Linked DNA regions of Neodiprion lecontei. The protein of the gene in region 1 purifies or fractionates together with the protein of each later gene. This does not show direct contact. Links are inferred from orthologs where the notes say so. Each region holds a gene or a part of one and is shown on either strand. Other genes may lie near its edges. The genes, in order: N-sulphoglucosamine sulphohydrolase and formylglycine-generating enzyme.

Region 1 (17,720 bases):
TTGGGATTGTGAACCATGTCGTACCCCAGAATATGGATGGAGATGCTGCTTATCAGGCTGCTCTTTCTATCGCCAGGGAAATTCTGCCTAACGGACCAATCGGCGTTAGGTGAGAACTAATGATTAGTTTTCAGACTGTCCATTCATGCTTGGATCATGAAAATTCATGCATCGAATACTAAATTTTTAGCAGTTCTAAAAATACTAAAACCCCAAAGATATCCTTTAATTTATGTTACTCAGTGTAATAATACGATAAATGTTCTGGAATTTCACTTCCGTTGTGAAGTTTTTTCAATTTTTCTTTATATTTTCTCTATCGTTTAAAGCTTTTCGTTTACAATTATTCACTGGATTTTCTTATGCTATCTTATGACTGCATTATGATAGTCAATTAAAAAGAAGTTTTCTTTCTTATATCATGCACTGCTTTTACATTTTCACTGCTTTACTGCAAGATAATAATAATCACAAGCACAAAGCAAGCAGACGACAAATCATTTTGTACATAAGATTTGCCGCTAAGCATTATACTTTCATTTCTATCTATTAAAATGTTTCCATCGCAAATTAAACGCTGATTCATGACAATATTCATGCAAACTTGTCTCTAACTGCGTTCATTTACTTGCCGAGCTCATCACTGGCCTGTTCACGCTCCACACTTACGTTAGTACTTGCATGTAAATGTTTGACCTTTGCCTCTTGAAGCAAGCAGCACCCGCGTGTCTTTTCTTTAAAGACTGCTGCTCTGAGCTTAAAAAAGTGCACGCAACAACGGAAGTCAGTGATCTTCAGTTACTCTGTATCTCCTATTACACTTTGAAAATGTACTTTTGTCTTATCTTTCTTGTCAATTTTTACACACTAGTAATAAATATATTCATTATCTGTTGAGTTATATGCTAATACTATTTGTGCCACAATCATATACAACTATTCACTTTTCAAAAGAATTATTTATGTTTTAGAGTAACTGGAGACTTACTTTTTTTTTACAAACGGCAACTAACTGACAAATACGAAAGTACATGTATTGCTTGATCAAATATCTGTGGGCTCAAATATTGCATAAACCCATCTTTTACATGTGTGTATACATTTGTAAAAGGTTACTCAAGGGCAAATCAACATGGAGATAACGTTATGTAATCAATATATACACAGCTGCTGCCCATTTAATATACTGTACATTTGACATCACACACAATTTCGATGCAATGGAAAATTTAGGATTTATTATCTGTAACTCTGTCACAGCGACCTACATTTTCAAATTCAGAATCATATCATTTGTTTAATCAATCAAAGATATTGTTTATTGGTTCAGAACGTCAATTACACATTCTTATAAGCATGACTGTACAAGTTTTATGTATATTTAATGCATTCGACAACGAGTGGGACAAAAAAAAAGTAAAAGGGAAAGTTGCTAATCCAAACCAGCGCTTGATTGGTCAGGAATTATTGTAGAAGATTTAAACTGTGCAAACATTGCTTATCTTTCGTCTTGTCATGTAATTTTGGCTTCAGATTTCCGTAATATTGGCTTTAAGACTTTTGCTCACGTGAGGGAAAGCAGGGTAAAATTTTTAGCCTGTGTACTTATCTCTTCGTTCATATCTCTTGCCACAATTCTGCCATATTATTTCTCCAGATCACGCAATCGTGCAAAATTTATCTTATCAAAACCAAAAGCAATCCGAATAGGAGAGTTTCGCGGGCTTTGGTAGTATCGAAGTAAATATCATTATATTCAATGAACTGATTCATATCTATTCTGTTTGATTCTAGGTTAGCCAAAGTAGCAATAAGTCAAGGTGTTGAAGTTCCACTGGAAGACGGATTCGAGATAGAGAAGAAGTGCTACACGCAGCTTTTGGAAACGGAAGATCGTTTAGAAGGGCTTGCTGCATTTAAGGCGAAGCGTGTTCCAGTCTACAAAGGCATCTGATTCTGATTATTGTTTTACACTTTTAATAAGCTGAGATACGCTCTGTGCTGATAACGTGAGTTTTTATCAGTAGTCTTGCTTACTCGTCCTCGTTACAATAATCATATTACGAAAAATAGCAGTTTTTCATTTACAAAAATTCAGTTCTACAACCCTAGCACTAGCGGGCCATTGAAAGCATGAAAATGAAGTCACGAAACAGGGAATAATCACTCCTGTTATCAGAAGTAATCTGTCAGTGATACGAACTCGTACCAGGCATTTGTGCCAACTTAATTGGAAAGATAAATGACTAATCCAAATATGGGCTACAGTAATCAGTTACCAGTGATTTTTTCTTGTTTATAAGTGCGTATTTGCTTGAGCAAGTTAAAAAAAGAAAGTTATTGAGTCTTCCAATTGCATATTTAACGGCTGGATAATAATCAGTACAGCAGCCATCAAAGTTGATTATATTTTATTATATATTGTTATGAATATCAAGTATAACTTGAAATATTTTATACGATGTTAAAAAGAAAAATTGAAAAAGTATATATACCTATAGTTATTTTAATTTAAATCTTAGAATTCACAGAATTAATCGCAATATGTTTCTAAGTTTTAGAGATCTCTTATATCTCTCTATATAATCTTAAATTTTATAAAGTTTTTTTGTTCTTTTCGTCTTTCATTGTAATCTTTGCTCACCTTAAAATTTCCCTGTTAAAGAATGAAAATTGTTGCATTTGACTCTTGTTTTGTATCTAAAAGTTGAAGTTTATCTGTCCGCATGTGATATGCAACCGATTATCAGCATGATTCAATGTAGCGATAATAACAGTTCTCTTTTGTAATACTTTTTTACAGGCAAGAAAAACACTACGTAAGATAACATTTGATACAAATCCAATGCAATTACAGTTCAAAATAAACCATTCGTCACTATTGTCCAGTACGTTATCAACTTAACGCAAATATTTACACTGCTATATTATCATGTCTCTTTGCAGTGTAGGAGCAATGACAACAGGACTTTAACGTGAGCAAAGAAAGTATAATTCATTAAATAATAAGTAATTTAGCTTGTCATGTTTGGAGCTTATATGTTTCAAAACTTAATAAGCATAACGGAATGAGGGACAGGGGCATTTTTTGATACGTTCTTAGGATTATCTATCATATCAAAACCGCTATTGTTGGAGCATGTTAAATTTGTGTATTTTTATAACATATTGTACACCATCTCTAGAAGAGAAGTTTTTATTATCAGACACTGCAGATGAGTGAAGTCATAAGGTATAGTATATATATATGTGTGTGTATTATATATATATATATATAATATACATATACATATATTCTTTCTAAGAAATTAAATATTTTATTGTACATATTTTTACACGTAATATACGTATACCTATAATGACACTGTTCAATAATGATAATAAATTAATCAATTGAAAATGATGAGCAAACTTGTTTTGGCGATTGCGATTTTTATTACAATACTTGCGAACAATACAATGTATATGTGTAATTCACCACAGTAACAATACATCCAGAAGAGCTGCACTTCCTTACTCAATAGTATTCATACGTATTGGTTACAATAAATATGAAACTTCAATTACTTGCTTGAGGCACATATTCATTTCGACTGTTACTAACAAGTTTTTCTATTTCTAGGATTTGCACATTATGGATGCTTTCGTTCGTATCACTACATTGTAAGACAAAACACCTAGAAGGAACAACTAAGGGTATGTTTCAATAACAGAATATTCGTCAAGTACTGCAATCTTTTATCAAGTACATTCAAATCTTTTATTTTCTACCCGTGAGCTCATTTATAGTTTCTGTACATTATACATATAAATATTTTACAAACTTCATAACTGCGTAATGGAGTCAATTTGAATGAAAACAAAGTTATACATCATTAAATCTATTTTAAAATGATTAAATTACAACACGTTGTATTTACATACCTACATATTTTCAAACATTACGATTACACCCTTGAAATATTGAAATATCGTTACAATCAATTTCCACTAGGAATTTGAAACCACACTTAGATTGAAACTCGTTAAAGACATTGCATTGGAACAGGAAGCTGACCCTTGGACTGTTTTTCCTTCACAAGAGCCATCAACATCTTGACCTGCCTGATGGTATCCTCAGGACTAGTGACTCGATGACCAATTGTAAGATCACTCTCATAAATTTCATGGTCGTTGCCACCCGCTTCAGTTTTGTCACCGAAGAAATGAATCTCCTCATATCCCTCAATGTACTTCAAACAGTAAGTCTTATCCCACCCATTTGGAAAAATATCTATAGATATCTGGCCACCTACAAGAAAAAATTTTTCATATTTTTCATCACATTTATCATATTTTTATATTCGAAAGTTAGAACGATTACCCTAAAAATTGTAAGAATAAAAAAAGAAAAGAAATACTAAAATCGTAAACAAAAGCTTATATATCAATTTTCGGTTTGAAATCTCTATAATAGTTAAATATCTAATAAATTTATTCGATTTCACTCCATGATTACTTTGTTAGAAAAATGATACAGATTTTTTCCAGGTTAGTAAATTTAGTATTCCTGTTTTTCAATCAAAATCAATATCAGTGCAGTCTTGAAAAATTCAATATGCACCAATACCAGTACGATGAAAGAAAATTGTCATAGCGAGTTTATAGAGAGTAATCTCTTCTCAACAAAATAAGCCATCATAGAGTGGAATCGAACAAACCAATTACATTTTTAATCATGTTAAAGTGATTTGAAATGAAGAGTCAATATCTAGAATGTGGTTCATAATTTTAGTATATCTTTTCCTGTATTTGAAGGGAAATGTGTTCAGCTTAGGAATATGTGAATTTGATTAATCTCGAATGTGTGACTATCTCGTAATAAAATGAGCAAAAAGTATTTAATCTTGACTCTTCAACTTCCTTAAATACATAAGAAGTTGTGAATGTCGACACAAAAAAGAAAAATATGTCAAAAATAAGGATAAGTACCTATACTAAAGGTGAGTGGCAGGTGAGCAAACTCTTTTTTTAAGGCCTGAACAAATTTTGGTCGAATTAGATTTTCTTTGTCATATTCATTGAACGCGTTGCGCTCATCTCTGCTGCAGTTCCGCCCTATAGGCGAGACATTTATCAAGCCAGACCGAAACTCTATGAAAGTACCACGTTTGACTGGTATTTTGAGGTCTGCAATATATCGTAGACAGAAATTTAATAACTCCTGTAACTGATCTTCTCCAAGCGCATCTAAGATTGTCTGAAAAGAAAGAGATAAAGAAATAACTGTTAATCCAAATTGTAAGTAAAAAACATTAGGAGTAATTGATTGAAAGTATCTTGTTTGTCAACTTTCAATTCTCTTTCATTTACCTCGGTAGCGATCTGCTTTCCATCACGGTAGGCAATCAGCCCATTCTCAGCAAACACATATTTGAAATTATTCACAACGTCGCTTCCTCCCATCTGCTCTAAAATCTTCACCAAATCAGAACCACCAACAAGGGCAATATCAAATTCTTTTCTCACTGTTTGCAGCAAAAACTTTTCCATATCTGGTTTAACAACCTGGAAAAAACGGTTTGGCATTCAAGCATTACAAAGAGGGCATCTCAGACAAAGAAACGAAAAAAAAATTTGGCTTATAGATTATTTGTAATGGTAGCTCTTGAACCGCTTTTTTTATCAATTCCACGATCGGCTATAGAAGGGGAACATCGATCATCAGTGTTGATAAAATGTTGAAATTGCAAGACACATATGCATTTTCCAAAACGATTCAATTGTTGAATTTACGTGCTAATATAGATGGAAAAAAAATTAATATAAATTTTCGTTATTTAATATTAGGTAGCACCTTGACTAATGATATTTCAATTTCATTACTTCAGTAGAAAATAAATGATTCTCTATTTTTTATGCGACCAAACAAAGATGATGAAATCATTGAAGAAAAACCATCAGAAATAGAATTTTGAATTCGACCTTTTAAGTACTTTGATTTTAGTATTTCTGAAGAAAAAGCATTTGTTCTGAATTCCATTTCAAGACTCAAGTACTTTTTGTCGTTGAAAAATAGCATCAGCTTTCTATTTGCAGTCATCTGAATATTAGATTAATATTATTTTTCACGATGTAACTGGAATTCCCTAGTTTTTTTCCTGAAGATGTTCAGCATGTTTGCTAAGTATGGCAATAATGGAAAGTACCCATACCTGACGCGGAGTAGTCAGTGTTCCATCAACGTCGAACAAACAGATGATCTTTTTATTAGCCATAGTGTAAAAACGGTGGATAAAATTCTGAAAGTTGAATAAAACAATTAATATATGTAGTAATGTAAAGATAATGAACTTTGCGAGGCTCACACAGTTTGATGTGATAAGTTTTTACTGCAATTTCTCGTACAAACGATAACTTGAACAGGTCAAATAAATTTTTCGAAAATAACAATAACAATAAACCTGAATTCAAATTGAAAAAAACCTGCCGATTGAAGGAACGAATTAATATAGAGTTTGAGAACATCGAAATACCCTCTGCTCGAATCTTGTGGTGTTTCTAGAATGCCTTTCACTAAACAAGAGTAAAAAGATAATGTGGAGAAAAGGGAGGCGAGGCGTTGCTCAGCCGGCGTGTCAAGTATGACCACCGGATCCGTAGTAGACTAGTTATCAATACGTGTCAGGCGTACCTTGAGGTGTCGTCGACCGCAACGAGCGTGAAAACTCACGATGTGTTATAATTGTCAAACCGGTGCTCGCATCCAGTACGTAAATACAGTTTGCGTTTGATCAGTCGGAAACAGTTTACATACGTACACCAACGTTTTAGTACCACGTAGGCACTCGTCTCCTCTCTTTTTGTGCCGAACGGCTATCCCACAAATTCGTATCTCGCGTCCCGTTCTATTCCTTGGTTTCGGAGTGCCACGAACCTGCAGTTCCGCAGTTAACGTCACGCGTTAACACGTGGGTAAAGGCGATATAGGTATACATGCAGGAAGAGGTTTCTCTCTGCATGAAGATGCCACGCGGGAAGATTCTCATCGTTGCTGCTGCTTCACTTCTGGCTTCCCTGATTTTACCTGAGCTTGCATACGCAGATGCGAATCCAACATCCCCTAGGTCACCCAGGAATGTGCTGTTGCTTTTAGGTGAATGACCTACTTTTACTTAGATTGTATGTAGTGTACAGTTGACTGTTTTTTGTGATTTATGGAATTGCGTATTAACCGAGTTCGATCGATAAAGAAGCTAGCGAATCGCTAACATCGCTTCTTATGGCCTCAAGCCTACTTACCCGTCGAGAACTGGTCACCAAATTTGCCCAAGTGTAACCGTCTTTAAATTCTTCCGTCGATAAATTGTTCCAAACTCAATCAATGGGTGCAACAATCAAATTTTTACGATTTTAGGCGTATATGGATTATACGTTGTTGGAAAAAAGAACGCTTTTTATCGGCTGATTTGTTATGTGGCAAACCAATCAGATGCTACGCTTTCTGTTACGTCAAACCGCTTGTTTCGTCTTTCGAACTTATCTTTCGGCGGCAATTTCTTTTGTTTTTTACAGCGACTCAATTTTTGATCTCAAATTAGAAAACAATATTAAAATAGATTTATAATAATTTAGATATTTTCTAACGCGAGATTTTCTATTTTGTGCCGTATTATTTATAGTAATTATTGAGTATTAAGTTACAAAATCCTTGGTTGAATCCATATTAAAAAATTGTAAACAATCTATGTGTGCATTGACTGTTAGAAGGACTAAATATGTCAAACGAAAGTTCAAAGTTTAAGCTTTCAAACGTGATCCAAGCTCATTATAAAAACATGTTTACAATATTAAAATTGACAGAATTCTGTTTATCACGTTAATTTATTCCAGCTGTATTCAATTAATTAATCAGTAGATTAAATCTAATTGTATTTTCGTTGAGGCAAAACTACTAGGGAGCTTATTTATTATAATACTTTTATTTGGTAAATTTGGTGGCATATTTGTAATAACGAAAAACTATTTCTTGAGGTAAACTAGATATTACTGAACCATACATTTTTTTTGACACAATGTTTTGTTCGATTAAAGTCGTATGTGAAATTATTTCTTATATGCAGATAAATTATGGCATAATTTTCTGTATCTCACTCTGGTCACTGAATACGCTAGTTCATCAATAATTCAACGCATGTATTTATATTTTTTCCAGCTGACGATGGAGGTTTTGAAATGCGATCGTACAGAAACAAAGTTTGTCAATCTCCCAATCTGGATATTCTGGCGAAGAATGGATTGATTTTCAACAATGCTTACACGTCAGTAAGCAGTTGTTCACCAAGGTACAGATCTCTTTTACACATTGACATCTTTTCCAATTCTTAACTAGGTGCAATCCTTAGTTAAATCCCTAGTTAAATCAATGCAGTGTAACATTAATTACATTATTCGCAGTTAAAATTCTTTCATACATTCAAATCAATGTGTGTTTTTCAATTATTGAAGCCGTGCCGCACTCCTCACCGGACTTCCAAGCCATACAAATGGGATGTATGGGCTTCACCAAGGTGTACATCATTTCAATTCCTTTGACGATGTAAAGAGCCTACCTAAAATCTTGGGTCAAAATAACATTAAAACAGGTAAAGGATTTGCTGGTAGTTTTCATAACTTTGAATCAAAGGTTCACGAAAATTTTACACATCATTTTTAAATCAAGGTTAAATTATTATTGTGTTGTGAGATAATAATTTTCGTAACACTAGGAATTATTGGCAAGAAGCACGTCGGACCCAGCAACGTTTATCCATTCGATTTTTCACACACGGAAGAGAACCATTCAATTCTTCAAGTTGGAAGGAACATAACTAAAATCAAGCTCCTTGTTCGGGAATTTCTGTCTGTTAATAAAACCAAGTGAGAACCTTAATGATTATCTTTAGGTATGAAATAATCGACAGATTAATTTCTGTCACATGTCAAATATTGTAATGATTTTCACAGACCCTTCTTCCTCTACGTTGCTTTTCATGATCCCCATCGCTGTGGCCACACGCACCCTGAGTACGGCAATTTTTGTGAAAAATTTGGAAACGGTGAACAGGGAATGGGCACTATTCCTGATTGGAATCCTATTTACTACCAGTGGAAACAAGTTCAGTTACCTTACTTCGTCCAAGATACCGAAGCTGCTCGTCGTGACTTAGCTGCACAGTATACAACAATTTCGAGACTTGATCAAGGTGTCCCTTAGTAATTCCGTTGTAATATTAAATCATTATACTTCTTGAAGTTCAATACTGAATATTATTTGATAGGAGTGGGACTGGTACTGAAGGAGCTTGAGGATGCTGGTTTTAAAGATGACACACTTGTTATTTATACCTCTGATAATGGTATTCCCTTTCCTAGTGGCCGGACTAATCTGTACGATCCAGGTAAATTTTTTAACGCTGCAACGCAAACCTGCTGATACCCCAACAAATGCGTATCGGATTTAGGCAATTATGAATTTTGCATCATTTTAATGGTACAGGCATGGCAGAGCCGATGATGATATCATCCCCATATCACAAGCAACGTAGAAATCAAGTAACTTACAGCATGACCTCACTACTTGATATCGTACCAACTGTACTAGACTGGTTCAATATTTCTGACACAACACAATTTGACGACAACAATGTATCACCTCGAATCTCACGCACCGGAAAATCTCTTCTTCCTCTACTCAGTCAAGGTAAATCATTAAAAAAGATCATCGCTAATTGTGTAAGAAAAAATTGAATAACTTTAAGCTGGGGCTCAATATGTATTTTTTTATATAATAGCACAAGCTGTTTATCGTGAAACATTGTGACATGATGAAATTGTGGTTTTTCTAGAGCCTCTCGAAAATGATACAGCTGTCTTTGCAAGTCATACGCATCACGAAATCACCATGTACTATCCAATGCGAGCAATCAGAACAAAGCGACATAAGCTTATCCATAATCTTAATTACAAGATGCCATTCCCAATTGATCAAGATTTTTATATATCGCCATCGTTTCAGGTAATTAAATTTTTCAGCAAAGTAAAAATCTGAATTCTCTACTCTAACTTTCTCAGAATTATATTTTGAATGTGATGTCTGAACTATATAATCATATAGTTTTTCATTTTGAAATTTACCTCTGGCTTACGCCTCTTTAACATGTCATTTAATAATTATTGTTTTACCTGTTTGTTTACAGTAATATCAATATTTACCTCCTAAAGTTGATTGAAATTAGTGGTACATAAACGAGTATTTAATTTTCCAGGATCTTCTGAACAGAACGCGTAATAAGCAACCAGTACCTTGGTATAAGTCTTTGAAGTCATACTATAACAGACCAGAGTGGGAGTTATATGACCTGAAATATGACCCTGAGGAACTCACTAATATTGCATTCAAACCATCCATGAAGGTACATATTTATCATGAATACTCGTTATTTTCCGTGAAGTACAGAGCATTTGCAGATACAACTATGTTAACAGTTGCTATAATTTTCGACACATTTAATATCATGGAAACGACTAAATTTACTTTTTAACTTTGTGGAAAATAACTTTAAAATATCAATTTTCTAATGTGTAAGTGGTACAGGTCTCAACAAAATTTTTTTTTCTGTATTATTGTTCCTAAATGTAGGGTTAACAATAATTCCTTTTATTATTTCAGTACATAGTTACAAAGTTACAAACCAGATTGTTCAACTGGCAACAAGCCACCCATGACCCCTGGTTATGTGCTCCAAGTGGAGTTCTCGAAGATGCAGGTGCTTACAAAAATAATCCGCAATGCATGCCACTGGATAACTTCAACCAATGATTTATCAAGAGTCTCATACAAAGATAAGTATAACATAAGAAGCTATATAATTTTCACATATTTTTCTGAAATCTTTTTTAATAACAATTAAACATTGCGTTAATTTAGGATATACTGTGATCGATTTAACAATTGTAAGTTAATTATCTTGCCCATACTTTGGTTTAACACTGGGATTCGTAATTCTTAGGAAACAATAACTATACTCATTAACGTTATTGTCGAACCATTTTATATTATTTCCACTACAACAATTCATTCGATATGTGATTGTGACGTAATACACGCAACGTGTATGTATAATATGAACTTAATTATTACCTAAATATTATCTAAGCTTTGCAACAAGTATATATGTTACAATCATCGAGGAATGATAACAGTTTTTTTTAAACACTATATCTAATTGAGGAAAATGCTCTCTAAAAAACGACACATGCTACAAGCAAAGTAAGCTTTGCTTTTTATCAAGAGTAACAATAACATCTATGTTCAAGACTATCAAAGTATAAAGAAAAGATCAAACTTATATAATATTACACAGACAACAACCAAGTTTAAAAAAGAAATGTAATTTTTTCATTGACATTATAAAGGTACGTAGACAATTACAAATACGAGTTAAAATTATTTTAAATTTATCATTAATACGCTTAGCAGCTCTTATTTCTGTCATGTATGTGCTAATGGAATCATCTGATGTCTTATTTTATTGTAATCTTAATCGTCCAGTTTTCTATAGAATCATCATTCGTTATCATTGAATAGACGATTTCAATGGAATCCTAGCTGCGGCAAGTAAAATGGGAGACCAACAAAGACTTTATTTTATCAAAACGTCAAATTTCTCTATTTTCTCTACATACGATGGACTTTTACTGTTTTCTAATTTTCACATTAAGTTATTTATTAATATTTAGAATTTCCTAAAGATTATAAGATTGTAGTCAACTGAGGTAAAGAAATATTCCTGACCTCTCTTTCCCGATGTTTGAGAAGAGCTTCGTTGAGTTGTCGAACATAAGCAGATGACTTATTGGCTGACCTCTCAACCACATTCATTTCTGCAGCAATTTCTTTAATCTAAAATTGCGAATCCACATGTTATGGTTTGAGTCTTTTTATGATTATTGCTTTTATAGTATTGCATGCAATATGGAAGTACGCTCAATAAAGTGTTAGTCTGAATGTAAGTTGACCCGCAAATTTACGAATTTGTTTCAAAGATTTTTTTTATATGCTGAATATAAGTCGAATTTTAGGGAAAAATGATCTGTTATCACACGGGTGTTTGTGTTGTATATTTTACATACATTGCATCATTAAAACTTCAGTCTGTTGTATAAATATCTCAATTTTAATTTGTTTAGACTTCTGACCGATGCTATTTGAAAAATTGTAATTTTGAATTTGGGAGATTTGTGATTTTGTTGGTTAAATTCTACAACAATTGGTTGACAACAAAGTTTTTTCGTCATTATAGCAAATTTCCTCAGCAAAAATCCCTTATTAAGAGGATTTCAAGAGGAAAATTGGCTAACAAAAAACTCCAATTATATTCAGACCAATATGGTACGTAGCAAAATTAAGCTTATACCGATGGTGAGATGAAAATATGATGTTTCATGTGGCAATGAGTGAAGTAAAATAAAAAGTGAGAAGGCATTAAAAAAGATGTTTAATAACAAGGCAGATAATGCAAAAGATTTTTGGTACTAACGTATTGTTTGTATTCCATGAATCTATAGTGCTTCTGATTATTATCGTAGATCTGTTTAACCTGGATCATGAGTACGAGAAAAAAAATAATGCCACCGACCAGTACGATCGAATGCATTTTTCTCGTCCTACGTAATCCCAACATCACATAATTACAGCGTTTCAAAAATTTTCAATTGTTTCGCACCAGAACTCATGATGCTTGGACAATATGTACACATGCGTTATTATTTTTCTTTTCTTTGACATATGTATCACGCGTGCCACGAAAACGCATAGAATAACAATATTTCAAATACTGTCGTAATATTTTCAACAACGTTTCGAGCAGTTTACTTTAAAGCTATTCGGTAATCACTCCCAACTACCGTTTATACATTCTTTATTTGAATGCGCAAAGTAAGCGTAGTTATTTTAGTACTCGATCACGCCCGACTTTTATTCGTAAGTTGCGTCCCACTTGCAACGTTTTGACAGATTATATCCTAGCCTAACTTAAACTAAGCAAACCTAACCTAAGCCAAGCTAACCTAACCCGTTCAATGAAGTCAGTAGTCAGCCCGTTCGAAGACATAACCTATCAAAAAACGGACAACTGGTTCCCGCAGATTCGCGATTCGCTCTGTCTAATTATTGCTGTATTATTCAGCAAGAGGTAGAAGTATTGAGACCAAACCGTAAGTATTTTACCCTCATAGTTACAAAAAATATGCTTTAATTAAATGTCAACAATAAGTTTTAATTCAAGTTTCTATTCAGAAAATGCATTAGTTACAATCTCTTACCGTATTAAATTCAATTAACGTTAAGAAAATGGATGAAAAAGAGAGTAAATCGTATAGAACTATTGACATCTAGATTGATCGTTTATCTTTTCGATTGATACGCAATGTGTGGACAATGACTTCAAAAACTTTTCAAATTCGTTAGGACATAATAGAGGTACTGAGAATGAGCCGTTACGTCGATCTTGCTAAAGTTACAACAAATTATGCAAATCGCATGAATCGTCTGAGCAACAAAATATTTGGAGAAGTGGTCCGAACTACAAATGCACCATCAATGAAGGTCGTTAAGTTGTTCAGTGCAAAGCCTATGAATAAACGGCAAGAGGTCGTCGATTGGTATCCAAGGCATCCCGAAATTGGAAAATTAATGATGAGACTTCGCGAGTATGGTCTATTCAGAGATGAACACGAGGACTTTAAAGATGAGATGAAACGTTTGAGAATTCTACGTGGCAAAGGCAAGCCTGAGAAGGGAGAGAGCAAGAAAATAACATTGTAAGAGTGGATAATTACTCTACTTGTATGGTCTGGAAATATTTTGAAATCTAATAGTAGCATAAAGTTTTTATAAACCGTCTTTGGAAAAAGATAATGGTAAGATGTTGTCAACATTTTGATGCCGTGGATACATAATTATTTTCACCGGTAAAACATTGTTAAATAATCAGAAAATAAAATAGACTACAGTCACAAGATAAAGTGTTGTACAAAACCATCTTGATTGGAAATGCAATGTATGCGATCGCCCGAACAAGTAATCTTCATCTAATGGCATCATAAAGTCTAAATCATACAATTCATCGCCTGTGCTTATTGTTGTGGATTTTCGTATCTCTTTGTCGTGATTTTTTTCAATATTTTTATCTCCTGAATGACTAGACTTGATTTGCACCGCTGGAAATTCAGCCACAGTATCCACTATTCTATTGGCAGTTTCTCTACTTTGGCCAACTTCTTGGTACTGCTTAAAATTATCTTCATCCCTTCGTCTCAGGATATCAAAGGGTATTCCATACTTTGAATTAAGTCTGCTATAGTTGGTATATACTGCGTTTTCTAGTCTGGGAGGAATAACTGGAATTTTTGACAAACTGGAACCTTGTTCATGAATCTCTTTTTCGACGATTTCTGTCCATAGTGGCTTCCAAAGTCTATCAATGGGTTTCTGATCGATGTTCAATCTAAACCTCGACAAGTTTGAATAATTCCAAATGTTAGTGCCAGCCGTCATACTGCCCGGATGTTGATCATGTCTACAGGTATTTTTGTTGGGTTTACCATCATTGTTTCGTTCCTCCATTACTTTATCGTTTAATATTAAATCATTGATCCATGATCTGGAATGTGAAAATGTTTTCCATGGCACATTACGCTGTGTCAAATTTATGGTACTCTCATTTTACCTGAATACACTAAGTCCTAGATAAGTAGGGATCCCAGCGCAGTCCAATGAGAAATTGGACCAAGAGGCAATTCCTAATAAAGTCATCTGCTGATATTGATCTTCGCAGACAACTGGGGATCCAGGATTTCCTGCACATGCTTTTATTCCATCTTCCGCGTCCACAATGGCGCAGAAGACATTGTTATAGCTGGTATTCCCCTTGAGCATGTACATACATACTTCCCAAGAATTAAGAAGCACGTGACTGTACTGGATCGGCTTTGCTAAAACTTTTGTCGATGGAGCGACATAGCTTTGCCATCCAAATATGAAACATGTCTTATAGTAATCATCTAGTCGAATTGGGGACACGTCTAGAAGTTTGACGTTGTCGTCGCACATATCAAATGGTTGTATTAATTTTAGCAGAGCAATATTATGCTCCTTGTCATGTGCCGTTGAGTAAGCTTGGTATTCTGGGAATATGTACGTCGCTTTTACTCCGATCGTTTGTCCTGACTGTGTGCCATTCAGCCCTGTGGCATATAAGGTGATGGACTGTAATTGAATAGAGAAGTCTGAGTATACACTCATTTGTAATCGTTTGCATGAACTTTGGGCATTATAGTGTTAGCAAGTATATCTGAGAAAGGATTCTATAGTTCCAAAGTTCAAATTAATAAACAGTACAAACGTATGTAATACGTACATTTCGGTTGAACTGAACGCATTGCGCAGCTGTAAGAACCCAGTCAGGAGAAACCAGTATTCCACCGCAAGGAATAATTGTTTGAAATTGAATTAGCCAGGGGAATTGGCTACTCTTGGCTCTGGCTGCCCATAAAGAAACTTCCAAAGATTGTTTTCCCCAATTTAATAATATGACAAATAATACTATCAACTTTGACATATTTATTTTGGTAAAAAAAAAGACTACTCTTGACGCTGATTTGTTATATTTTATGCTGGTAATGCTAAACTGAGTTATTTAATGCACAAACACATGAGTAACTTATTACATGATAGGAAAAAATCATTTGCACAAGATCCAGAGGAAAAAAAATAATCACGGTAATTAGCTATAAAAACTGATTTATTGTAAAATGAGTCACAACAATTTTGTTTAATTATGGTATAAATGAAATCGATATAATAAATTCGCACTATTGAAAATTATAACTTTTCTTTACACATCTCTAAAATAGAAACTTTATAATAACGCAGGTAAAGTTAGTAACGTTACCGTTACGAATAATTATATGAAAAGTTACCATTTTAGAGCTTCAGAACAACTCTGAAGGGGTTGAATTTGCAAATATGAGTTTCTTAATGCTCCATTAGGTCGCTGAATTTCACACAACAGTAAAGTTGCAAAATAACGAGTCTTCTTGAAAATGCATCGTTATATTTAGATCAACTTCAATCTCGTTTAAAATGGATGTATAATTACTGGTACAAGATTTTCTTTAGAGAACGTTTTGGTAAGAATATTTTTATTTACAACTATTTATGCGCAAGTATTCTTATAATTCTTCTTTCTCATTCTTTGGTCTGTTTTCATTTTCTTTATTGTTTTTACGAGAATTCTTCTTATTTTTCTTTTGTTCGATTTTAGGTCGTCCAGTTTCACCCTTTTCCTTTAAGCAAGTGTCATCTTGTCCTTTCAATGCCCGATCGGAACACAGATATCTATATAAAAACAATATCACATTATTAAATATGTATTAACAATACAATAAGATAATATTCATTACTACCTATATTAATAAATAGATCTTAGGTTATAGGATAACAGTTTTCCACATTTAGATGTCATAGTTGGCTTGTTTCAGGCAATGCATGTACAACTGTGAATTGCAAATCAGTTTTTAACTAAATTCATTCCCTTTTAATGTAGTCGGAAGTGTATATTTACCGGCTCAATGGAATAATTCCTTGATGTTCAAAATACCATTCCTCAATGTCACCTTCATGATTTTCCAGTAGAGACTCACACTGAGTTTTTAGCGTAGTTATCTCTACTGATGGCTTGTCCCAAAGTTCATATGGTATACCCAAGTCGACCTTTACACCCTTGTCCCTATTATGTAAACAATGATTAATATAATTTTTAAAAAAGACTGATAGTTTAACACGCTACGACCTAATATCACCTTAAAATTTCCATTTGCAATCATATTTCAAAGTTAGTATTCAGTCCAGCTTAGTGAATGTAAAAAATTTCTTGTTTGCATATCTTATATGAAGCTGGAACTCACAGACATTTGTTTATTTGAAGTACAATAAGTTTTCAATGAGGATTCAAATATTCCTAATCATTGATACTTGTGGTTTTAAAGTAAAGTGTTTCAGTTCTTCATTTCGAATTCTGTTTATCGAAGAATAATTTTACACAGTGATTAAGCTACATTTCCACATATTGCATTTTCAACTGTGATAAAATTATATTATAATTCATGTCGTCTAGTATGAGTACCTTATCAGGTAGGTAGGAGTACATTATTAAAAAAATGTAAATCAATAGCGGTATCAGGCTGAAGTTAAGTGAAAACAGAAAGACTTGCCTCTCAAGTTGCAAATATTGCCGAATGTGAGACTTTTAGCTAAATAATTATTCAAAAAAATAGTTGGCTTGTAAGATGACTGAGCACAACTTACAGCTTCATCACGTACAGTTGAAATTGACACTCACTTTGCAGAAATATGAATTTCGTTTGTGGAAATCTGTTAAAATTATCGACAAAACTCGACTGTATGAAAAACAGTTTTTGTGTTTTTCATGAATGGCATCCAAGAAATAGGGAATGAGAAATGTTACAATACTTACTGACAAAATTTGGTAACGGCAACATTGGCTAAACAAAGTGAGTGTCAGATAATAAATAGAAGTAATAAAGGGAAAGTTTACTTTACACTAGACCATGCAGAGTTTTGAAGGTTTGACTCATTCCCTTGGAAAACCTGGTGCTGTCTTCCCTTTCCTTATGAA
Region 2 (15,861 bases), on another chromosome or scaffold:
AACGCAACTTCAGCTGAAATACACAAAATCAAGACGTGGTAGGAAATATTAGTTTTGAGCAGGAATGAGGACTTTCAAGCCTACAAAAGTTGAATTTTCAGTAGATTCAACAAAGTTGTTCAAATTTAGGTAGCCAAATATTCCGCGTGAAACGCTATCGGTACCGAGCGAGAGTACATTACCGACAGAGCAATGTCATCGGAAACGCGTCAGAGACGTGAATATTGTAATGTGTACAAATGTACGTAGCGGTTACAACGCCACCCAACGGCAGGTACATGAAGCATGACCTTGACGGTGAAGCGAGATTATTGAATGACATTTCAGCATGTGCGTGACAACTTTGTTGTCCAAGGCATGTTTAGCGACATGGAGCGTCACTTGTAGGGAAATAGCGATACGGTTATATCTCTGTAAATAAATACTGACACTTCAATTAGTACTAGTGAACGTCTGCTTGTATACCGTTTCATTCTCCTGCCTGAGAGCCGCTAATAGTTTATCCTTGGTAACGATTTGCTCGGATTGTTGTTGTATCAGGTCCAGATGTAAAAGTAGTAGTTCTTTGAGGTGCTTGACCTCGGTGAGGTCATGGTGACGAGCCTCGTTGCCGCGGAGGGGGCTGACACCGAGTGCCGATGTCGCCGGGGCACCGCCGTCTGTCATACTCGCGTACATGTGGTCGAAGTCGCAGGGGAAGCTTAATATGCCCGCCTTGCTATCCTCGGCAGCGGTTTGGAACTCGTTTTGCCTCACGTTAGTTGATAAATGTTCGCTCATTGCTGCAACCATGTTGTATGCCGCACGAGCCGCGGCCGCGTTAACTCCACTAGCCGTAGTTCCAGGTGCCGTAAGCAGTTCCCGAAAATCCACGCTCCCAGTGTTTTCACCATTTATTACTGGCGAGGTGTTTGACATTTTCCCTCCGTGACAACCTCGTTAAGAACTTTCCTGATCATTTGTGGCCGCAGTGAGCGTACCACGCGCCCAACCACACTCATTAAACAATCTTACGTAGACTCCGATGATCTTTTCACTCTACAAAATAGACAAACTCTCACGATATCACCCTCAATTTTAACCCTGGCTCGAGATGTTTACTGACAAAACTCTGCCGACGGCGTTCTCACAGTAGAGACACCAAGCGTACGCGGCTCGAAATACTCCAACGATTTCCCGCCATTGCAACCACGTGATTTCCGTACCCGTCAATCACGGCTGGCCCCGTTTATTTGAATTCATCCGACGAGATTCTTCCCGCTCTCCACGTTTACGAATAATCGTAACGAATGGACAACCTATTCGATGCATTAATCAAGCTGTTGGAAGCTCGGACGAAAAAAATACTCCGGATATGCCTTTCAATAGAAATTTTACAGCAAGGTAAATCTACAACTGCTGAGAAGGATGTTCACTGATAGCTTCGCATAGAGTGCAGCACATTCCAGATCATCAGTCTTTAGCGCGATGTTTTTTATTAATCAAATATGCCGTACTTTAATGAGTAATTATTAAAGTCATTACTATATACATATAAGACTCAATTACTACAATTCATGCGGAAATATTACGTTTACAAGACAGCTATATTATAATGAAATGCGAATTTCAATTCGATATCGATGCCGAGGAACGGTCTCAAGATACGTTCCGCTTGATCTGTGATTGTGGTTGTGAATTGGAGCAGCATTTTCGTTTATTTCGTTTGTCGCGTCACGTACATAAACCGTTGTCCTTTGAGACTGTGTCTCGTCTTAGCTCGCCAATTCCTAATGCGACGCCGCCGACCAGTGTGGATGTCGTGTGACATGGGTTCAGCTAAGGTTACGTAAAAAGCGTGCCGATGAAACGCTTTGTCGTAATTCTCGAGCGAATTTTTGGCGGCTTGTGTAAACATCATATTAATGTTATGTAGAACTTAGTTTATCAAAAAATATCAGAAAATTGACGTTCACCGTGTGGACGGATCTGCACCTGGCGTTGTATTATAACGGCAAGAGATTAAAGAGTTAATAAATAAATAAATCGGCACGACACTTGCGGTTGGAACTTTTATCGCCACAAATAGTTGTGGGTGTAATAATTTTCATTGACTGTCATCTCACTCCAAATTATAGACCAAATGATTTACTCTGTTCATCCGTGCCTTACGTGACTTTCATGTAGCAGTAAATCAGTGCTGTTTTGTGAATATAGCGAGTGAATTCGCAGGCACGATCAATGCAATACGTGCAACCTTAGTTGAAAATACATAATCATTAGAACTGATTCACTCTTTCGATTTTTCAATTCGATTTCCGTTCGAGATATTGCTTTTCGAATAACTTTTGCAATTACCAATGATGAAATATCTATCGCAGATTTCAAATCTCAAATTATCTTATTTACATTGCTGAGAGATGGCCTAAATTTATTTTTCAATCAACCGCCAGATGCGCCAGAGAAAAGCCCGACGTTTCTAAATGTTACAGTGTTTTTGTTTTGAGCTTCCGAAAAACATTGATTTTGGCAATTAGAATCTTCGTAACAGACCCGGTACTACAAGGAAAATAGATTTCACTTGAAAAACTGAAACGAGGTTAATTTCCGTTGGTCAGTATGGAGTACGGCATTGCCATACGGAAATTCAGTCAAGCCGGAAAGCGCGCCACCGATAAAACAGGGCTGAATCAGTGTGGCTAAATGCCACTGGTCGAGACTGGCGGGATCAGCGTGACTATATTTCGCCATTGTTCCTCCGGTCTTTCGTATCCTCTTACATTTCACAGTTACGAACTGTGATTACGAATTTCGGTTGGCTTGCTCTGTTGCGTTTACCTGTACCAAAACTCTGTGATAAATGAGATAAAATACGAAAAGTTTTGCCGCTTGTGAAAATTAGTAATTAAAAATAATTCATTATGGCTGATTCTTCTTACGAGAAAGGATTAACCGAGTTATCCAAGATGAAGGTATGCGCATACATTAGCACTGTTTCATGCGGCGATTGTGTATTTAATATTTACGTTAACCTCAACGAATCCAACCATCTTATTGCACCCTGAATGATTATATTTTGGAGAAAGTTTACTTTGAGTTCTGTCATTCGAATAGTAATATGTTTTAACTTTCATATATGAAACCATCGTCATCCCGAAAGTTGTCAAATTGCTGAACACGTTTTGCTTCGAAGGTGCACTAATCAAACTTGAAAAATTCTAGTAATTCAAGTCTCAAAGATCTTTTACTGTAAAAAAGGGTACTGTTATCCTTTATGGATTGAACTGTGTCAGGTTTTATTTATAACGTTGATTATAGATTCTTCGAAATTTGAATACAATTTTCCAACCTCTCGATAGTTGAGAGGTACTTAATTATAGCAGGGAATAATTTTGATGCATCAATTGATGACATTCATTACAGGTAGCAGATTTAAAGTTGGAGTTGAAGCAACGAGGACTGCCCACGACTGGAAATAAAACCGAGCTGGTAGAACGACTTCAATTAGCAATGCATGGAGGTAGGATTATGAAAATGCAAACCATAATCGTTAGCTTAATTACAGGATACCCAGGATTAATGAATTGCATTAAATAATACTCAATATTTGACAGCCACCGATATTTTGTTTCACAGATTCGACTTTATCACTTGACGAGACTACGGATGAAATATTAGATGAGGATGCTGTTCTCGGAGTAAGTTATATTTTTACGTCCTTTTAGCTTTCAGAAATATTGATAATATTCCGAATATAAGACTCTGAAATGTATTGGTTTATTATGTTTCTTCACTAAAATAATAATGCATTACCAGGTCTGAATCAAGTTTGTATATCTGTTCCCGTTTTTATAAATGAATGATATGTACCTGTAGGATGAAGAGATAGAGGAACTTTCTAGTAAACCCGACTCACAGGAAGTGGGCAAAAAGCGAAAATTGTCAACAGAAAGTAACTCAGCGAATTCCAAAAAAATAGTACTGAATCGTAATCCAATTCTCGAAGATATCCAAAGTGAGCTAACTGGAAAAGAGAATAATAATAAATCAGATACAAGTGAACCTGAAAAGAAGGTTATCAAACTTTCTCAACTGGGCGTTAAGGAGGTAAAAATGATAACTACACGTTTTTTGTGATTGTCACATACCTGCATTTTCAACTGAAATTCACAGCTTCTAAATATCTTCATCTATTGCACTTGTTAAAAAATAATTAATTTTGCAAATTTTATACTCCATCCATCCACCATCTGATAATTATCGTTTTTGAACAGAGACTGGAAATGAGAGCTAAGAAATTTGGTGTCCCTCTATCTGAGTCTGCAAAGAAAGAAGCTAGGTCGGCCAGGTTTAATTCAAACACGCAGAATAGTAAGTCAGCAGCATCTATAAACGTTCCAGTGGTAAGTTTTGAACAAAATCAGCTTGACAGTTAGATTCGTGGAACACTTATAACTTGGGGATGATATTAAAATCTCGTGAATAATTAATTTCAGCATACGACCTTTGAGGTGCTGAAAAAGAGAGCTGAAAGGTTCGGCGCTTCGGTTTCTAGTGTGATGGAAAAAGTATGTGTCAGTTTTTTAATCAATGCAGTGTATCAGTTACTGTGAAATGCCTTTAAAATGAATCATATAATTTATTGTTTATAGGCTGAAATGGAGTCAAGAATAGAAAAGAGGCGAGCGAGATTTGGTGAGGTTAAGCCGATTGAAAAACCCATAAAAAAAATTAAGATAGTAAAATGATACTCGATATCATACACTCAAACAATACTTTAGGTTAAGGTTATTTTAAGAAATTCTTTTTCAATGAAACCAATAGTCAAACAGTCATTAAAAAGTAGACGAAATTTTCAATATTCAATATGGATCGAAAATATTTACATTTTTTGATTAATCAATTTCTAATAGAGTATTTTACTTATAAATTAAAAAAAAATAAAAACATCAAATCAAATTATAGCATTGGTAATTTTTTCATTGCCAAACATTATTGATGTATAATTCCAAAATTATGGAATCTCTGAAAATAAATTCTAGTAATAGGAAATGAAGTCCAGAGGCTCCTATAAAATCAAAATAACCTGCTGATCGCTGTCACAAAAATGTGCTTGCGTTGAATGAAACATTGATAATAGATTGGGAATTTCTGAAAAATTTATTACCATTTTTCCATACGTACAGTTTACCTGAGGTTACAATCACAATCTACTTAAATCTGTATCTCGAGCTCCAAAAATCGTGTTCGTAATTTCTGAGGAATAATGTAAACCCTTCATATTTCGAAATGATTCTTTACACACGTATACTAAACGTCAAACATTATTCTGGAAGACTTGGACCTGGCTTAAAAATAGAATCAAAACTTTGATAAAAATTTATCCAATCATGCGTATGTGTACCAGTATTTACAAAATATTTTAACCTAAGTACAATTCAGATATTGCTAAATCGACATAGCACATCTGAAGCCGAGATTGCCAGCAGAAGTATCAGGTGTGTTTTGACTGCGCGCAGCGCACCTGTATCTGTAACAGTAACTCTCATGACACAGATATGAGCCTCCTTTTTTAACTTTGTCTGTACCACTTGACGGTCCGACCTACAAAATTTTGACTGATCATGAATTTGAGAAATTTAACTACAATTATTACATGGAATGTAGGTGCTTGGCATAAACTATTAAGAATACCAGTACTCGAAATTGTGTATCTTGACTTAGGACAATCATTTAGCAATAAATCATAGCTTTTTTGAGAGTTTTTTTCAATTGCAACATTCCTGTGTTAGAATAGAATTCATTTTTGCAAGGGTATTGGGTGTATGTTATCACAGGAAAGTTATACTTACAGGATTTTTTGCAGGTTTATCACTGTGTTCAGTTACCCACCAATCGGAAGTCCATTCCCAGACATTTCCAACCATATTATAAAGTCCGTAACCATTTGGTGGAAATTCTGTGATTGGTGCTGTCCCCACAAATCCATCTTCAGCACTATTATTGCTAGGAAAAACTCCTTGCCAAATGTTGGTCCTGCACGGAAAAAGTAAATTAAAATTCTATACTAGTAATAAGATTAAAGAAATAATTGATAAGTAACATGTTTCTTAACAGAATCATATAAATGTGTTGTGCGTATTTTGTCAAAAAAAAAAAGAAGAATAATCAAGCAATTGTCAATGATTTTTCATTTAAAAATGAATGTGCGTCGCCGAATTTGAGGATGTAATGAAATAAAAATTAATCGAACAATCGTAATTCCAATACTAGCTTACCTGTGTTGATTCTTTGGAGTGAGGCGGTTACCCCAAGGAAAAAGACGTTCAGTTACAAGTCCGCCTCTGCACGCAACTTCCCATTCAGATTCCGTAGGCAGTCGTTTGCCTCGCCATTTACAAAAAGCTGTGGCATCGTTCCAAGAGACGTGAATCACAGGATGGTCCATTCTGTCTGTCATAGAGAACGTGTTTAAGATTGTGATGATCGAAGCGCGTCTACTTCTCACCAATTTTCTTGGACTACCTATGTATAGAAGAAAACCTCACCCAGTATGTCGGAATCAGGACCTTCAGGATGACGCCAGTTACAGTCTTTGACCGGTAGCCACCAAGGTGCCTGAGCAACCGCCTCGTTTATCTTAGACTTTGTTTCCTCGCTCAATAATCCCTCAAACACAAAAGAATCCCCAAATTTTTCAGCCTCTGTTCGATGCCCCGTAGCCTTGGCAAACTCCTCGAAATCTCTGTTGCTAACTTCGTAAACATCAATGTAGAAATCGTCCAGAGTTACGTTTCGTCTTGGACCCTCACCGTCGGCCACGAATATCGGTTGGTTTGTACCGACGGCAAAGGTGCCCGAATTTATCATCGCCATTCCATCGTGAGCGTTGATTCTCTGTTCGTACTTATTCTCTTTGACAGTGCAAGCTTCACTCTCACCGGCGGAACAGAAACCTTCAGTTTTGCCGCTCTGATCATCGTTTGTTTTTCGATTCAATACTTTACCGCATTGACAATCCGTTCCCTCAGATTCTGCAGCCTTGATAAGGAAAGTATGGACGATTAAAACTGCTACAAACACGGCACGCATTTTCCAAAAACAATTGACTGACGTCAACAACCCTTTTTGACGCTGCGAATGGAAATCGTCGTCGCCGCTGTCGTTGACTGAAGATATATTCTTCAGTCAACGCCGCTGTCAATTGTTTTGGTACAAATTATCCTGAATCGATGGCTAACTAGTATTGGCCGCGTAGAATTTGGTGATCTACAAACTCGCGTTATCAATGGTTCGGACGCATTATCGTCGTGTCGCACGAAAAGAGGCGACACTTGGCGAAACGTCAGTTGAAGTTGAAACTGTAACCGCGCGTTGAGCAATAAGTGCGCGGTGCAATCGGGTTCAGTCGCGTGTGCAAAGCCGCAAGAAATAGTTAAAGTGGACGAGACGTGGACGTGTCCGGTATAACCTCGATGAGCATATGTCGCGGTTCTAATACCGTTTGGAATACATGTAGATATTGTTTGACAGAAACTGATCAATAATGACTGGTAGTCAGAAATCGTCGAAAATAAAGTTGCTCGTTTGTGCAGCTGGTATTTTCGTGTGTTACTTTTATTTCGGTGTTCTTCAAGAAAAAATAACCAGAGGACAGTACGGAGATGCCGACAAACCCGAAAAATTCACATTCGCGTTCGCATTGGTTTCTGTCCAATGTTTGCTCAACTACATGTTTGCCAAAGTTATACTATTGACTGTTATGAAACAAGGCGAAGACTCTACTCGTACAATTTATTATGCTGTCAGTTCGCTTACTTATCTACTCGCTATGGTTTGTAGTACTATGGCTTTGCAATTTGTCAGCTATCCTACTCAGGTTGTCGGCAAGGCTGGCAAGCCTATTCCTGTTATGATACTCGGTGTACTGCTCGGAAGGAAGGTGAGATTTTAACTTGTCGATTATTCAAACCTTTTACAGATTTTGCAATAGTTCTCTTACCTATTCATATCAGTATTACTCTGTCATGTTTAAAGCAACACGTCGATGCCCCATCAAAGTCTGTTATTTCTAGTCGATTAGATTAAAACTACTGTAAATATTCCTCTTGTCCACCAAGGTATTAATCAAGATTTTTTCAAAGCAAAAACATGATTCGTTCATAATTTTCTCAACAACATTCGCAATACTGTTTTATTCAAATTTAAGAGTGACTGGTCTGTGAGGTGAGATGATAAAAAATAATGATAATTCTTATCTCGAACCAAAGATGTGTCGTTCAACTAAAAATATGGTTAATTTTTCATTTAAGGTTTATCCATTGAGGAAATACCTATTCGTGTTACTGATCGTTGTGGGCGTTGCTCTCTTCATGTACAAAGACAATGTGGCAAATACCAAGCAGACCGAAAGCCAAATGGGCTTTGGAGAGTTTTTGCTGCTGCTGTCATTGACGATGGATGGACTGACTGGAGCGGTACAGGAAAGAATGCGAGCAGAGCACAAATCTAAATCTGGCCACATGATGCTGAACATGAATTTCTGGTCATTTATATTCAGTACTTCGGTTATCCTAGTGTCAGGAGAGCTTGTACAATTCTTGTCATTTATGCAGAGACATCCAAACTGCCTATGGCACATCGTTTCCTTCTCTTTAGCAGGAGCGTTTGGACAATTTTTCATATTCTTAACAGTGTCAGATTTCGGCCCTCTTCCATGTTCCGTTATGACTACTACTAGGAAATTCTTTACTGTACTAGGTTCTGTTTTATTATTTGGTAATAATTTATTACCCAGACAATGGCTGGCAACGATTACAGTCTTCTCAGGGTTATTCTTAGACGCCATGTACGGCAAGACTAAAGTACCATTAAAGGAAACTACTGAATGATTTTAATTATATTATCATAGTATGATAGATGAATTATGTTGGAGGTTCTGAATTTTTATTTAGTTCAGGTTCTTATGAGGCTGAAGTTAGTAAAATAATTGCAACGAAACGTCAGGGAAAAATATATATACTTAAAAATATATAATTATGATCACTTTGAAGGAGTCAGCTTTTCAAAATGAGAGTATGTTTTGTTTATCATGGTTTACTAAAATTCAACTTCATGGTGTAAAATAACAATTTTTCCTAAACATCGTTACAGTCTCGTTACCAACTTCACCTTTATACTTCCTTTAGGTACAATTGATAACGCGACGAAAAGGTGTCTAGAATAGATGAACATTATCAGCGAACAGAAATAAATTTATAAAGTTCGATCAGTGTTGGGCGTTTTTGTAATTAATTGGTTTCTAATAAAATTACAAATGTAATCTGTCGTTCCAAGAAAAATCGATACTAACTATTACGTTCGTAATTTTTAATTGAAATTTTCCTAGTTACAAATTACAATAGTCATTGGTAATTTTTTTCCTTCCAGTAAGAACCGTGTGTATATCTCATAATCAGTACGTATAAATTTTCAATTTGGAACATGATATAAGGAATTACTTGGATCACAATCTATATACGTATAGATTGTGAACTATGTATATATATATATATATATATATATATATATATATATATATATATATATATATATATATATATATATTTCACACAAAATATGCATAATACAGATTATACATCACAACGTTTAGTGCAATGCGCTCAAATTCATTTATGTATATGGCTTATACATATTTATTTGTACAGTACTTACGATTATAGCGTTGTTCCAACATTTCCAATTATCAAGTTTTTCCGATTAATGGTAAGAATACTCCTTTAAGAAAATTAGATGGCGACTATTTTTTACATACATATTTCGATCCGCAAACTATATGTATATAAAATTTTCTCTCAGCCAAATTTACTAAGAGCAAAAATAAAGAGAAATAAAATTGAAATGGGTATAAATATTATAAAAGTCTATCACTGCATATCTATACGCTAAATAGAACGTTACCTAACAACGGAATAATTGGTTTATTCGCATGTTGCATACAGGATTTTATTACCGACTTAACTGTGATTACTATTGACTTGAAAAGTGCTACTTTTTCCCCGCAAATGCAGGAACAAGTATCAGAGGGAATCATACGCTACTTTTGGCCCACTTTTCAGATCAGTAAAGTGGCCGTTGCGGTTGAGTCTGCAATAAATATGCTTTCGTTAATATTTTCTTATACATATAATACTTATATACGGTACATATAGTTATAAGATATATTGATAAATAAATGCCACAAAGAATGACGAGTGTTTAATTTCTGCAAAAACTGTTAATTGTATACTCATAAAATAATAATGTAGGTGACATCCGGCGAGCTAATTTCAGTACTACATTTTATCCAATTTTGGATATCAGATTCGTAATCAGCGTTCCCGAAAACCTAGGGAAAGTGGATTTTCTGTACATCGATTTTATTACGAACTTCATGTTTTAATCCGCCGTTTTGTTTACCAAATTTTGATATTATATTCGTAATCAGCAATCCCAGAAACGTTGGTATACCAAATTTGACAAAATTCTGATGATGCCCTGATTTAATTCCACGATTTCATGAAAATTCCCCACTGTGTGTCGCCCTGGAATTTCTAACAACAGATTCATGATATACGAAAAAGACAACACCTATTGTACAGTCGCAACAACATTCTTCAGATTTTTATAGAGGATCGTAAAGAATGCATAATTTCGGCTAATAATTCTGCAACGTGCACATAGTTTATATTTCGGTTTCCACTTAACAATGGAGAGAATCGAACCGTGTAACTACTTGCGAAGGTAAATATAAATGCAAACTTGTGTTATTCTCGTTAGAAGCTGTATTTACCAACTGCAGCCCGTATTTATAGGTATATAATTTCGTGTAATTGTCTTACAATCAGCCATAGGTGTATTCTTGCGTAATTCCATGTGCATGCAATAACGAAATTTTGCCCTGATCGGGCAGATTTTTTTTTTTCGTGATTCTGTTTCTTGTTACAATTACATATTATTAGCCTCACACCAAATCACAGTTGAAAGCCGAATATGGATTGAAAGGAAGATTCTCGCACGAGACGTTCAAAATTTGCAAAGAATTTTGATTCCAGCGTAAAAAGTGGAAAGAAATACAGAAAGGTTATCGTCGCGTTTTCGTTAAGGAAACCGAATGTTAGTTACGAAACCACTTTCGTTAAACACGGATTCCTTGTTACACTCACTAACGTAGTGATTAAGGGAGTTCTGTTGTGGATCTTGGAAATGTAGGTCATTATTTAACAACAAGTTTTTGCCGTCAACGTTTCGACCCTGATTGGAGTCATCCTCAGGACATATTTAATGCATCTATTGAAACATAATTACAACATTGTTGATACCGAGTCGGAACAACCTTAATAACATATAATAAAATTAGAGTAATAATGAAAAGTAAAACATAAGCTATGTATATAGAAACAAACGATCACTAACACTAGTAAGTAAAAAAAAAAAAAAAAGGAGTTCATTGTGTGCAACTGTTTTTCGCGATGGTTCAGAAATAAACCTTCGATCTTGTCGTACGGAACGAGAATTTCGATACGTAGTATAAACTCAACTATTCTCCAATCGAGAAAATAAAACTCTCCATTCGGTCATGTAATTACCGGATATATCGTATATACTTTCAACGATACAGGTATGTTAATAAAATTAGGAAAACCCGGTATTTTTAACAAGTAGCCTGCCTGTTTTGATTATACTATTTACTATGAGACTAAACGGGGATTTTTTATTTGGAAAATTGTCTCCGTTTAAATGTCGCAATAATGAAAGAATAGCACTGACAGCACTATAAATTCCCGTAAAAGTCGAAAGTACTTCAATAGAGGTATTTGTCAAATTGTTAATGCCATGCATACCTACTATTTTCCATTTTCAATAGAAAATAGAGTGTGCTCGTTCAAATCTGCTTGTTTTGGAATATGTAAAACGTCATTTCCACATTTTAAATACATACTGAAATTGAAAGCATTTATCAGATATTACCAATTGTCTTGTCTCAAACGCGGATTGCCTTGATGGAGGAAACTTACATCGCTTCAGTACCTAATCACACGGTGTTGGATTGTGTGTTTATGAAAATGACGGGTTTAGGCGCGGTTGGGGCTGCACTCGGCAGCACGTAAATGTCATTAGCTTAATTTTGTTCATTAGTTCAGGTAGATCCAGGAATCTTCCTCGCCTATATAAGTAGTTGCCCGAGCAATGCCACCCCAGTCTGATCCAGTACGCGCGGTTTATTTCGTTCGATTAGCGATCAGGAAGTAATTAGTAGACCTAGTTTTTTTTTTATTGCAACGACGATAAAATGTCTAAGCTTAGTTACGGTCTTGTTATAATGATATTTTTCGTTGCCAAATCGATGGTGAGTTTTGATTTTGCGTAAATTCGTTCTACTCGTTGTTGCAAATTCCAACTTTGATTCATGGTGTGCAGCTTTCTGCTTCTTTTCCAATTTTCTTTGACGTTGAAATTTTTTCTTTATTTTACTTTGCTATTCTAATTGTTTAAGAATGCAAATTTTGACCGTCGTATTAGCTGATTTTTATTCGAACGCCTGTTTCGCAAAGATCGGAAATTTCATATCTAAATTCAGACTTGTGGATTATACTTTTAACAGGCAGATGATGGAATGGCCGAAATGGTACAAATGCTACACGACACATGCGTCGCAGAGACAGGCGTCGCCGAGGGTAAGTGAGCTTGTGCGATTAAACAATCCGATAATAATTTCTCTTCGTTTTATCGTATCACCAGATGGTCATTTATATTTTTTTCTTACAGACTTGATCGTCCAGGCAAGAACCGGTAATTTTCCGGATGACCCAAAGTTGAAGGTAACCAATAATTTGTAATCCAGCTGCTAGGTAAATCGAAATTAGGCGAGTCGGGCCTTCGCCTCGATATTCTTGTTTCTGAAAGTTTTTTTTTAAACAGAATCGAAGTGAATAAAAATATAAATGGTAATATTTCTGAGTTAAAAAATTTTTCATTGGTCACATAAACAAATTTTATTATTAAAAAAAATGTTCAAAATTTGCGAAAATTAATTATGGAGGCCTCTATTATCTAGAGATTTCGGGGTGCCTCCCTTGGCACCCTGCGCTAAATTTGACCCTGCATTCGATTATTTTCCATGTAATTGCAAGTGTTTGTGTAGTCATTTCAATCGAACGCCAAGGAATTTGTTTTCTATTTCCATTGCAATTCGCTTATGATAATTACAACGGTTCTATTTCAGTGTTACATGCTGTGCCTGTTGGAACAAATTTCCGGTGTAAGTGAATTTCATTATTTTTATCAATTATAGAATATAGAAGTATGGTTATAAATGTATTACGTTTCGTTAGTTTTTTTGAAAACTTATAACACGAACAGAAATTCAGACGAAAATCTGAAACTTCGGGGGCATTTTTTATAAATCGAACGGTGTCATTAAAAAAAAAAAAAAAATGTACCAAAAATGAAGAATTTCGTCAGTTCCAGCGAAAGACCTACATAAGCATGGTTACAAATATTTTTGGCTGATTTCGTATAATTTTATATGACTTGAAATCCTTTCAACTACAGATTGCGCGTACGATTGCGGATATTGTCAGTTTATATCGAGTCATTTCGTACGGTTTAAAACTTTTATCCACCGATTTCATTGCGAAATAATCTCGTTTTACACAATAGCTATTAAAAGAGACTTCTTTATAATCCACCTTTTTTCTGTTTAACACCACGCAATGAACGCAAACTTCAAACACACATAGCAAGACCATTATTCCAATTATAACCCAGTATAAATACATCTCACACCGTATCCACAGCCATTGAGTAGCGCGGGAATAAAGCCCAGAGAATTTCGCCTAGTCCGACTGATCCTGTTACCAATCTCTGAACTTTTTATAATGAAATATAAAAATCGAAAAAATTATGACAACCGGTGGATTCTGTGTGACAATATTAAACACGCCTCGATGATTTATTATCAGCTTCACTTACAGTGACACGTTTGTTGGAACACCCAAAACGTTATTTAATTGTTCCATGTCTAGATTGATGACGGCAACATCGACGTAGAAACTATCGTCGCAGTATTACCCGAGCACGTCGTGGGCGACGCTGAGCCAGTAGTTCGAAGCTGTGGAACAGTCAGTGAGTATGTTTAAGATATCCGTAGTAATGGGAGGTCCAGCTAAACCGATCACCATTAAAGGCTTATTACAGTAGGAAAGTTCGATGGCAGTTTTTTAAATTCATATTCTACACTAGTTTCGTAAAGAATAAATTCGTTATTATAATTATTTTCTTCCTTCATTCGATGAACGAAGTTAAAGCAAATTATCAGCAGTTTTAAAGAAGTGCTGTTTAACGTAAGCCGTATCCAAAGTAGTTGCACATATAATGTCTACGTACATCATCATACTTATAAAAATAAAACTGACATTTAATTGCAAGTAACACTTACAATTATCGTTTATAACCGAAGTAAAAAAAAAAAACTCTACTTTATGCACCCGTATAAAAGTTGGAATACTTGTTCCATGAAACTTTCCCATTCATGTTTCTTCTTTCGTTTCGCAGAGGGTTCCGATGATTGCGATACGGCATTCCAGACGAACAAGTGTTGGTACAATGGATTACCAGACGTAAGTATGGTGATTGGCGGGGGATCGAATTTATAATTTTTCATTGTTGCGGAACTTAAAATAGGCAAGTACTAACGCATAATTACGCTTTTCTCATTTGTTTTCAGCTGTACATGTTGGCATAATTTCGTTCGACTCGCAGCGATTTCCGGGAGCCTCCTTCGAAGGAGAAAAACCTTACTGTGAATTATATCCGAAATAGGCATACTATATGTTTTGTATCAAGTATTTGTTGGTGAGATTGCAAATTTTTGAATGTAATCATATGTTCACTCCTCAACGTGGTAATTAATGCAGCTGTCCTAAACATCTGTGCATATCAGTTCCCAAAATTCACAGAATATAGTATGTTCCCATGTATACACACGTATGTAACATATTTTGTAATGATTTCAAAAAATAACGTCATTCTTCAAAATTGAATTGGCACTTCTGTAACTATATTGGCAAAATATAACTGTACTGGTAATAAAGAAGAAAACAACTAGATGTTTACCGAAGGATTCAATGAGAACTTGCAACCAGAAATCCGGCCTCTTTGCATACTCGAGTCTATTCGATCGTTCTGTAATAACAGCATACTGGTCAGTTATCATACCTATAGGGAAAAATAATATCTTGAGAAAATGACTGTGAATGTTCCGTTAGTGTGGGCGCCTCATGGTAGGCAACCCGTGTAACAGTTCTGTAATCCGTGAATACTCGGTAATGACTAATGAAGCTATCAAATGATTTAGGTGTGGGCGCCTAATGGTAGGCAACCTGTGTAACAGTTCTGTGATCCATGCATATTCGGTGACGTTCAATGAAGCTATCAAATAGTCCAGAAGATGGCGCCATATGGGCGGAAATATGAGGAACTGATTTTAGTGCAGGGTAATGAACGGGTGAATTAAGTAGAATCAGGTGCAATATTGAATTGACCACAATGCTATTGCTTGACGATTGCATTGGTATGATTAAATGTCGGTAAACCGAAATTTTGTTTGGAATATTCGGACCTAGGCACAATATAAGCGTTAATAATTAGCAAAAATACCCTCCGTTTATTTCAATAATAATAGCTGCGTCGCCCTGGAATTTCTGACGACATATTTATGACACATAACAAACCCCGATTTCACAGTTGCAAAATAATTCTTTAGAATTTCGCTAGGCTGCGTAAAACATACAGAAATTCGGTTCGTTTATTTTCAAAATTCTTAATTTCCATCTTGGAGCC

The links.
Region 2: the proteins of N-sulphoglucosamine sulphohydrolase (region 1) and formylglycine-generating enzyme purify together in Homo sapiens (co-immunoprecipitation; 3 studies listed by BioGRID and IntAct, with this or other methods). This does not show direct contact. The link is inferred for Neodiprion lecontei from reciprocal best matches to the Homo sapiens genes SGSH and SUMF1.

The regions. Positions count from the first base shown.
Region 1 is NC_060264.1:8,249,950-8,267,669, reverse strand, and holds N-sulphoglucosamine sulphohydrolase, read left to right. Parts: upstream 1-6,975; coding exon 6,976-7,135; intron 7,136-7,281; exon of another isoform or gene 7,282-7,388; intron 7,389-8,194; coding exon 8,195-8,324; intron 8,325-8,487; coding exon 8,488-8,624; intron 8,625-8,747; coding exon 8,748-8,898; intron 8,899-8,985; coding exon 8,986-9,224; intron 9,225-9,299; coding exon 9,300-9,419; intron 9,420-9,517; coding exon 9,518-9,721; intron 9,722-9,866; coding exon 9,867-10,036; intron 10,037-10,286; coding exon 10,287-10,433; intron 10,434-10,690; coding exon 10,691-10,840; 3' UTR 10,841-11,251; downstream 11,252-17,720. Other genes in the region: methylglutaconyl-CoA hydratase, mitochondrial, read left to right, coding at 1-109, 1,795-1,954; phosphomannomutase, read right to left, coding at 4,026-4,291, 4,972-5,239, 5,353-5,547, 6,195-6,257; 28S ribosomal protein S33, mitochondrial, read left to right, coding at 13,511-13,846; protein canopy 4, read right to left, coding at 16,255-16,420, 16,647-16,811, 17,645-17,720. UniProt on the Homo sapiens protein: Catalyzes a step in lysosomal heparan sulfate degradation.
Region 2 is NC_060263.1:36,069,545-36,085,405, reverse strand, and holds formylglycine-generating enzyme, read right to left. Parts: upstream 7,283-15,861; 5' UTR 7,072-7,282; coding exon 6,528-7,071; intron 6,433-6,527; coding exon 6,258-6,432; intron 6,247-6,257; exon of another isoform or gene 6,016-6,246; coding exon 5,832-6,015; exon of another isoform or gene 5,584-5,831; coding exon 5,428-5,583; 3' UTR 4,967-5,427; downstream 1-4,966. Other genes in the region: male-specific lethal 1 homolog, read right to left, coding at 1-13, 466-918; SAP domain-containing ribonucleoprotein, read left to right, coding at 2,901-2,951, 3,403-3,499, 3,616-3,677, 3,856-4,086, 4,254-4,382, 4,476-4,547, 4,632-4,727; solute carrier family 35 member B1, read left to right, coding at 7,526-7,921, 8,292-8,870; uncharacterized protein LOC107219570, read left to right, coding at 12,311-12,367, 12,623-12,695, 12,787-12,839, 13,244-13,279, 14,046-14,145, 14,575-14,639.